Ovis aries: one gene and its partner. The protein of the gene in region 1 binds, or shares a complex with, the protein of each later gene. Links are inferred from orthologs where the notes say so. Each region holds a gene or a part of one and is shown on either strand. Other genes may lie near its edges. The genes, in order: GNAQ and F2RL1.

Region 1 (3,815 bases):
TCGAACCCGGGTCTCCCGCATTGGAGGCAGACGCTTTAACCTCTGAGCCACCAGGGACTGGCATTATGTATGTGTATATATATGTATTGATAAAACATATACACACATCAATTACACCACACATGTGATAACCAGAATTCATCAGATCATCATATTATCAACCAACTGTAGTCATTGGCATTAAAAAAAAAAATTTTCTTCAACAGAATACTCATAACCGCAACAAAACAAGCATACCACCTATTTCAGAAACTCACTACACTGAGATTTCTAAAGGGGAAAATTCCTGATCCTTTTGAACTCAGACTGCTTCCATATCCAGACAGCTTCCTGTGATTCAGGTACCATATTTCCATGAACCTACTCAGATCTTTCCATTCTTGAGAGGAGAAGCTGGGAGGACTATTTGTGGAAGATCTCGCTGTTATTTGTGGAGAGACTCTCGCTGCCATCGGAAAATGAAGTGTGAAGATATCAATTAGATAAGAAACAGCCAGTTCATTTTAAGGAACCACCTCCAAAAAAGAAATGCCTGATTTGAAAATGATCTGTATATTTAGAAGCTTCTAAATAGTAAAAGAAGTGGAGGTACAGAGAACTGCTTTATTTTACCTATGATTCATGTTTGTGAGTTACATCTCAGCTTATGAGTCATACTGGGCATGCAGACTTCTTGTTAGTACCCATTGATCCTGGTATATGGAAATATCCTCAAGAGGAGAATATCAAGAGTACTAAGAGAATGAAAATGAATGCTTCGATTGAAGGTCCTCAAATAACTGCAGGTACAAATGCAGTGTTTTGTCAACAAAAGGTTAAGGTTTTACCAACTTACAAGATCAGCACCTACATGTTGTAAGGAATGAAGACTGCATCCACCCTTAGACATTCTGATTGATTAACAGGAAGGGAAGACATTTCTACAATTCTGCTTCCCTCATAAACTCCCAGTATAAACTCAAACCCGAGGACACCCTCAGATGCACCACACTTGTTAGGGATCACGTAGTTATAATATTTGGAGAGTAAGCAATGACAGCATTTGTTTTCACCTGAATAAAAAAATCTGGCTTTCTATTTCAGTTAAGAAATAATGCTGAATATTGGGAAAGTTTGCTTGGTTTTTAAAAAGCTAAAATTTTAGATTTTTTTCCCCTAACCCTTTCTCAAGTGATTTTAGAAGTTTCCATTATTTTAACACAACTGCAGGGAAACGTGTTTGAAAGGTTACTGGAAGCGACAGATGGGCTTATTTTGAAATAAAATTAAGCCTGTGGTACTACTGAAAGGAAGTCACGAAATCCAAAATTAAACTGGACAGAATGGTCTGAAGCTGTTTTTGTTCTTTGTTCAGGAAGCACAAAGAGTGGGAGGCTGAGGCAAGGCCACCACTTCTCATGTGAATCCCCTCACTCGGGTCAGTTTGTCTTGAACTGATAAAACTCTCTTCTTAACGTAACATGCGCCCCCACATTTTAAACATCCATACACCTACTGTCAAATATCCAGACATGTCCTTCACTGATATCACTAAGAATACAACTCCAATCTTTTATAGCTGTGACTTTATAAAGACTTAAGGAAGAAAAAACCATTTATAAACAACTGTGCTGAGCTATTAAAAACCCCATTTTAGGATGAGGTGGAAAATGCCCATTTAAAACAGACAATGTGCATCCCAGACATGTGAAGAGACCATTCGCCCTGGGAATGGCTTCGCCAGCCGTTCTCAGGAGGAGCCACGCCTACCTTATTGTGCTCGTACTTGTAGGGGATCTTGAGCGTGTCCATGGCTCTGATCATAGCCTGCATGGCCGTGAAGATGTTCTGATACACCAGCTTGGTGAAGCCCCTTTTGTCTTCATCAGAGTAGCCCGATCCATGGATGATTCTCATCTGCTTGATAAAGGTACTCTTGCCACTCTCTCCTGTCCCTGCAAGAGAAACGACAGCAGCTCATCAGACCATGAGACCTTCTCACAGTCTTCCAGACAACTACACTATTCATAGGAGCAGGCCTTGGATGTGGCATCCTGAGGGCCTGCTGAGAGGAGCATCAGAGGAGAGCAGCATCACCAGCGGGGGAAGTGCCACCGAGGGTGAGCACTCAGCAAGATGAGAGGAGTGAGACTCCAGCTCAGAGGCAGACTTTAAGAAAATAAACAAACAACTGTCACCTTTTTGGAAGCCACTCAGCATGGAATTTTGATAGTGACTTGTAACCATGTATCTTATAAGAAACACAATGAAAGCAGCATGGTTTGAACAGAATAAACACTTGATAAAGCTCTCTTCCCTACAGTATGTCTGAAACGCTTCCAGCAGACCGGGATGTTTAGCCAGGATCTGGATCTGAAGATGACAATGCACTTATACAAATCTGTTCAGACATCAGTAAGACAACATGCCAGAAAATTTCTAGACACTTTCTCATACTTTAAAATGGGGTATATGGAGAGCATGGTATCCAGGTAAGAATCCAGATACTTCGGGATAGCAAGTAGCAACTGTATTTATTTCCAGGGGGTTCGGTTGGCTGAGTTGTGTCAAGGAATCACTCAATTCAGGAAAAGACACAGGAACTTTCCTTCTTTCTGCCTACTCTTAACTATGACACAGAAATTCACTATTACTGATTTTCTTTCTTCTGTGTTCTCATTTTCCCCTTCTTCAGTATTCCTTTTTGGTGACCATGAGCATACAGAGAATCCATAACAAAGCTACAAATGCCCGAAAGATGAGATCATTTCACTGAATGACAACATATTTCTTCTATGGTGAATCTGAAACTATAAATCTAAAAACTTCATTTTTTAAAATGTAAGTTGTTTTGGAGGACGTGCAACTTTATTTCTGAGTATCTCTCTCTCACTGTCAAATCTCCTTGAAATTTTCAAAATAATAAATGTCTTCCCCACGATGTGGGGGAAAAAAAATCAAAGTTTTTAGGATAGTAAGCATGGCAGAATATAATAATAATAATAATACTCAGGATGATTGCAGCACCCTTGATGCCATTTCCTATCAACAAGACATTAAAAAAAAAAAAAAAAAGGTGGAAAAGGAGAACTGAAAACTAGGAATACGACATCTGTCCTAACTTTGGTTTTTCTGGTGGTTGGATTTCATTACTATCTTTATAAACAATCATGAAAAATTCAAATAAGTATTACAGTTTTCATAGAAGCACTCTTAAATGACTACAGATGTCTTGGTAAACACAGAAGCCTCATATAATTACAAAGATGATTTCTAGCCCCACAGTCCTGTGGTCGCCAATTCTTTATCCTTTTCATATGACCTTTAATAAAGTGATCTGGAATTTCTTGAAATATAAAGTTAACATTTCCTTTATCATTTTCATATGATTTTAATAAAGTGATTCAGAATTCCTTGAAGCATAAAGTTAACACTGCAATATGAATGCAATCAACACATTTTAACAAGATTAATGCAAGGAGTTAAAAATGAACATATAATTCCATCCATGAATACTGGGTTGGGGAGGGTGGGGGTGCAATATTTAAAGAGAAGTATCCCTAATGGCAATAAAGCTAGGAAATTGTTTCTCATTAGCAATCAACAATTTATAGGAAGAAACCAGTATCTTTACTTTTCTGAGCAATTCAAAGTATGGAAGAAAAAGATCCAAATTGCTTCTCTGCTTATTATCCTTATCCTTGCTCTGAGGGCCCAACTAGAGACATAATCATCAAATCAGAACCTCTGCCAGTTTTTTCCACACCAAAACCAGAAAGAAACCTTAATATGTGAGGTTACCTGACCTGCCTCTTGAGAAATCTATATGCAAGTCA
Region 2 (3,915 bases), on another chromosome or scaffold:
GACTGAGCAATGGCAACCGACTGATGTTTATATAAACACATAGCTGTACACAATTTTTTTGTCTATTTATGAATACATATTTTGTGCATGGATGTATGAAAGCATGAGAAAGGCTAGAAACCAAAATGTTGGCAATGTTTTGGGTAATGAGGGTGATTTAATTAATGCCACCTCCTTTTTGGACTTATTTTTCCTTTACAGTAATCACATACAGCTTGTATCCTTAATGACCAATTACAAAGGGAACACAAGTTTCAGTGTCCGAAAGAAAAATGGAATGACTGCTTTACAGGGGACTTCTCAGACTTGTGACACGGGGGAAAGAAGTAAGTACCTGAAAAAAGCCAACTTAAATGCCAAACTGCCATCAACTGCCGGGAAACTCTGGGCCAGTCCCTTTACTTCATTTTTCATTCACTATTTACTGAGGTCCTTTAGGGAAAGAGATGTGTTGGACCGTGGTGATGGAGGTGCCGGTAGGGGTCCCTGGCCTCCTGGAGTATGTGATCCAGTTGGGGGAGAGAGAAAACTATTTACAGAAGTAACTATCCATCACTCAGATGGTAAAGAATACACACACACACACACACACATGTGATAGGAAAGAAAGCAGGGGTATGATGGACAGTTTTCCTTGCCTCTCCCCCTCAATTCAGCAACCCCCATCTGTGAAATGATAAGGTTACTCTCTAGGCTGAGTTCCTTTCCATAAGGCAGTGTTTTGGGGAAAAACCTTTGGGAAGAAAAGTCTAGTATAGTATGCGTCTTGCTGCAAACTGAGGGGGATACATGAGGGCCAGACTGAAGCGGGTGAGCAAAGACAGGTGCTGAAGGTCAGAAACACTGGTGATGCCATGTTTCTTAATTAAAATCAACTTAGTTTCAAGTTGTGAAGAGAGCTCCATCTACCTAAAGTCTCACTGTTACTGAACTGACCCTTTAGCAAAGTTACCCTGCAAAGGAATAAAAGTATGTGGAAGGCGAAAAAAGTGCAATATTGAATAGTTCTGTTTAACAAGTAACTTGATCTTTGTCGTGTTGTTAAATGAAGTGTGCCTTATACTTCAGAAATCCTCCCAGCTCCTGTCCCTCACTTTGTAAACAAGAGCAAGCCAAACACTCAGGCAAGCTTCCTATTGGAACTGTCTAGATGATAAATTAGAAGAATCCACATCCTCACATTTTGCAGAAGATGTCTGCACATACTAAGCCTTGCCCCTAAATTTTAAGTTTGTAAGTTTAAAAACAGAACGGTAAAGGGACATGTATTCATCACAGTTTCAGTACCTTCAGGAAATAAAATATCTTTATTCTAACGCTGACAATAAAATGTGTACCAGGGGTGTAGTTTTTCAAGTATCCACCATAATAATACCCTTTTCTGTAACTGCAGAAGGAAAAGAATCACATGCTTCTGATTCAAATTCACAGTGATTTGCTGTTTTACAATGTCTTCATGAAGAGGATAAAAGTGAGAACCTGTCTTAACAGGTCTACAAATTTCGCACGGAAACAAAAACTTCCTTTTTAAGGCTCCTCATCCTTTAGCATCACAGTATGAGTTTGAGTAGGCTCCGGGGGCTGTTGGACAGGGAAGCCTGGCGTGCTGCAGTCCATGGGGTCGCAGAGTCGGACACGACTGAGCGACTGAACTGAACTGAAGGCAATACCCGGCCTAACAGCGCCCACGCCCTGGGAGAGCAGCTCAGCCGGGGAGATTCCCCCTCCCGCCTGACAAGTCCGAGCACACCCCGGGCACCGGCTGCGGCGCACAAGCTGGGCACTTCCGTGCCCGGGGAGCGCAGCCTCGGGCCTTCGGACCTGGTGGCGGCCGGTGTGGCACCGAAGGGCCGGGAAACCCGGGGCCCACAGGTCACCTGGTCGAATGTAAAGCAGGGTTCAAGAAGTTCCATTCGTTCACCTGTTCTACTGGCCTACAACCCGGAGCGAGCGCCCGGCCCTGGCTTCCCCACTCCCGCCACGAACCGTCCCAGAGGAGTTGCCGGCCCCGGGGAGGGGGAGGCGGGTTGAATGCCGAGGGCCGACCCCAAAGAGGGGCCTCCAGAAGTTGCCGGAGGCTCAGAAAACGACTCAGAAAATTCCCAGGCCGCGGGCTCCGTCCCGCTCTTTGAGGCCGTCAACTCGCTAACCCCGCGGGTCGCGCAGGACTAGGCAGGAGAGTCTGAAAAGTGTGCGAAAGTTCCTTAATGACTAGTGTTTGCAAAGAAACCTGGGGCTGGTGGGGCGGGGAGGGACTCAGCCCCCCGGGGCGTCCGTAGACGCGAACACCCCGCTGTCTTCCGCTCGCTTCCACAGGCTTCAGCCCCTGCTGGTGGTCCCAGCTGGGGCCCCGGAGACCCCCCTGCTCCGAAGCCTGGAGCGGAGCCGCCGGCTGCGGGGAGGAGGAGGCGGCGGCCGCACTCACCCTTCCCGCATCCACCCAGCGTCCGCCTCCAGCCCACGGCGCCCGAGACCCCCGCTCCCGAGCAGCCCGACCCCTCCCAGCCAAGCCTCTCACCTGCGACGGTGCGGTTGCAGGAGGCAGAGGCCGCCAGCAGGAGGACGCCCCCGAGCAGCCACGCCGCGCTCGGGCTTCGCATCCTGCAGCAGCGCCGACGCCGGGCGGACGGGAAGCCCGCCGCCGCCACAGCCCCGAAACTGAGTCCCCCTCTCCGCTCGGCTCGGGTAGGAAGCCACCCTCCCGCCGGCCCCTGATTGGAGCCTGCGCGCACGCCTCCCGAGAACCCGGTAAGTTTCAGTGAAACTCGAGCCTCTCGCCGCACCTGCGCGCGGCCACGCCCCGGGGCGGGAACGCGCTGCTCCGCCCCGCGGTTCCGAGACCGGGAGTCCCGGGCCCCGCCCCGGCCCGCCGCCCGAGGTGCGCCCGCCGCGTAGAAACTGTGCTGTGATCTTCGAAAGGTTGGAACCCTCTCGTCGTGGGATCGCCGCGGCCTGCGCAAGGCCGAAAACCGCCTTTAACCTTGAATTACTCCTGCGGAGCCAGCGTTGTCCACCCCCATCCCCCGCCCTTCCTAAAGGGCACACAGCCAAGGCCCGGGCTCGCTGCAGTTATCTTGGGTGCTTGTTGGAGGCCTCCCACTGTCGTCTGCGCTGCGGGATGAGGGGAGACTTTCTAGTCTGCACTGGCAGGATGGACGTCTGCGGGCCCCCGCCAACACGATAGGGAGCAGGCAGGGGCCCGGGCCTGCCGGAGTCTTCAGGGATCTGTGTTTAAGTTTCCGCTCTGCTGTTAACTAGCTGCGACCCCTCATAAACCTCTTACCCCTTCTAGGCGCCCTTCCCGGTCTGTGAAGTGGGAGGGAGAAAACAGTTGTAACAGCTACTTAAAGTACCACGCGTAAATGACTCAGGAGCCCAGTCTAGGTTAATCCCCCGAATGTAAAACGTATGCAATAACTGTTATTCCCATTTTACAGACGAGGAAACTGAATTAAGGTTGAACAAACTGCCCACAGTCGCGCAGCGGTAGTCACGGATTGTAAATGTCCATCACACGTAAACATGGTGACTTCTGCTGTCTCCTATTACTCACTGCTCCCGCCAGAAGCTTTTCTGTGAGAGCCCACAGTCCACAGAATTATGTAAACATTTATATTTACAAGTAGGGCTTCCCAGTGGCGCTAGTGGTAAAGAACCTGCCTGCCAATGCAGGAGATGTAAGAGCCGCGGGATTCGATCCCTGGGTTGGGAAGATCCCCTAGAAGAGGGTGTGGTAACCCACTCCAGTATTCTTGCCTGGAGACTCTCATGGACAGAGGAGAGAAGAGGGCGTGGTAACCCACTCCAGTATTCTTGCCTGGAGACTCTCACGGACAGAGGAGCCTGGCGGGCTGCCGTCCACGAGGTCACATAGAGTCAGACACGACTGAAGCGACTCCGCACATATTTACGAGT

Evidence for each region.
Region 2: the proteins of GNAQ (region 1) and F2RL1 are in contact, whole or in part, in a cryo-EM structure (PDB 9D0A), measured with the Homo sapiens proteins. The link is inferred for Ovis aries from reciprocal best matches to the Homo sapiens genes GNAQ and F2RL1. Residues at the interface, in NP_002063.2 of Homo sapiens: Arg37, Ile323, Tyr325, Asp346, Ile348, Leu349, Gln350, Asn352, Leu353, Glu355, Tyr356, Asn357, Leu358, Val359; in NP_005233.4 of Homo sapiens: His108, Pro109, Ala110, Met114, Gln172, Arg173, Val176, Ile177, Pro180, Met181, Gly182, His183, Ser184, Arg185, Met265, Met268, Leu269, Met274, Asp275, Asn277, Lys280, Lys281, Arg284, Ala285, Leu288, Ile289, Tyr344, Tyr345, Val347, Ser348.

What each region holds. Positions count from the first base shown.
Region 1 is NC_056055.1:58,949,478-58,953,292, reverse strand, and holds part of GNAQ (guanine nucleotide-binding protein G(q) subunit alpha), read right to left. Parts: intron 1,935-3,815; coding exon 1,750-1,934; intron 1-1,749.
Region 2 is NC_056060.1:8,047,612-8,051,526, reverse strand, and holds the start of F2RL1 (proteinase-activated receptor 2), read right to left. Parts: upstream 2,758-3,915; 5' UTR 2,601-2,757; coding exon 2,519-2,600; intron 1-2,518. UniProt on the Homo sapiens protein: Receptor for trypsin and trypsin-like enzymes coupled to G proteins.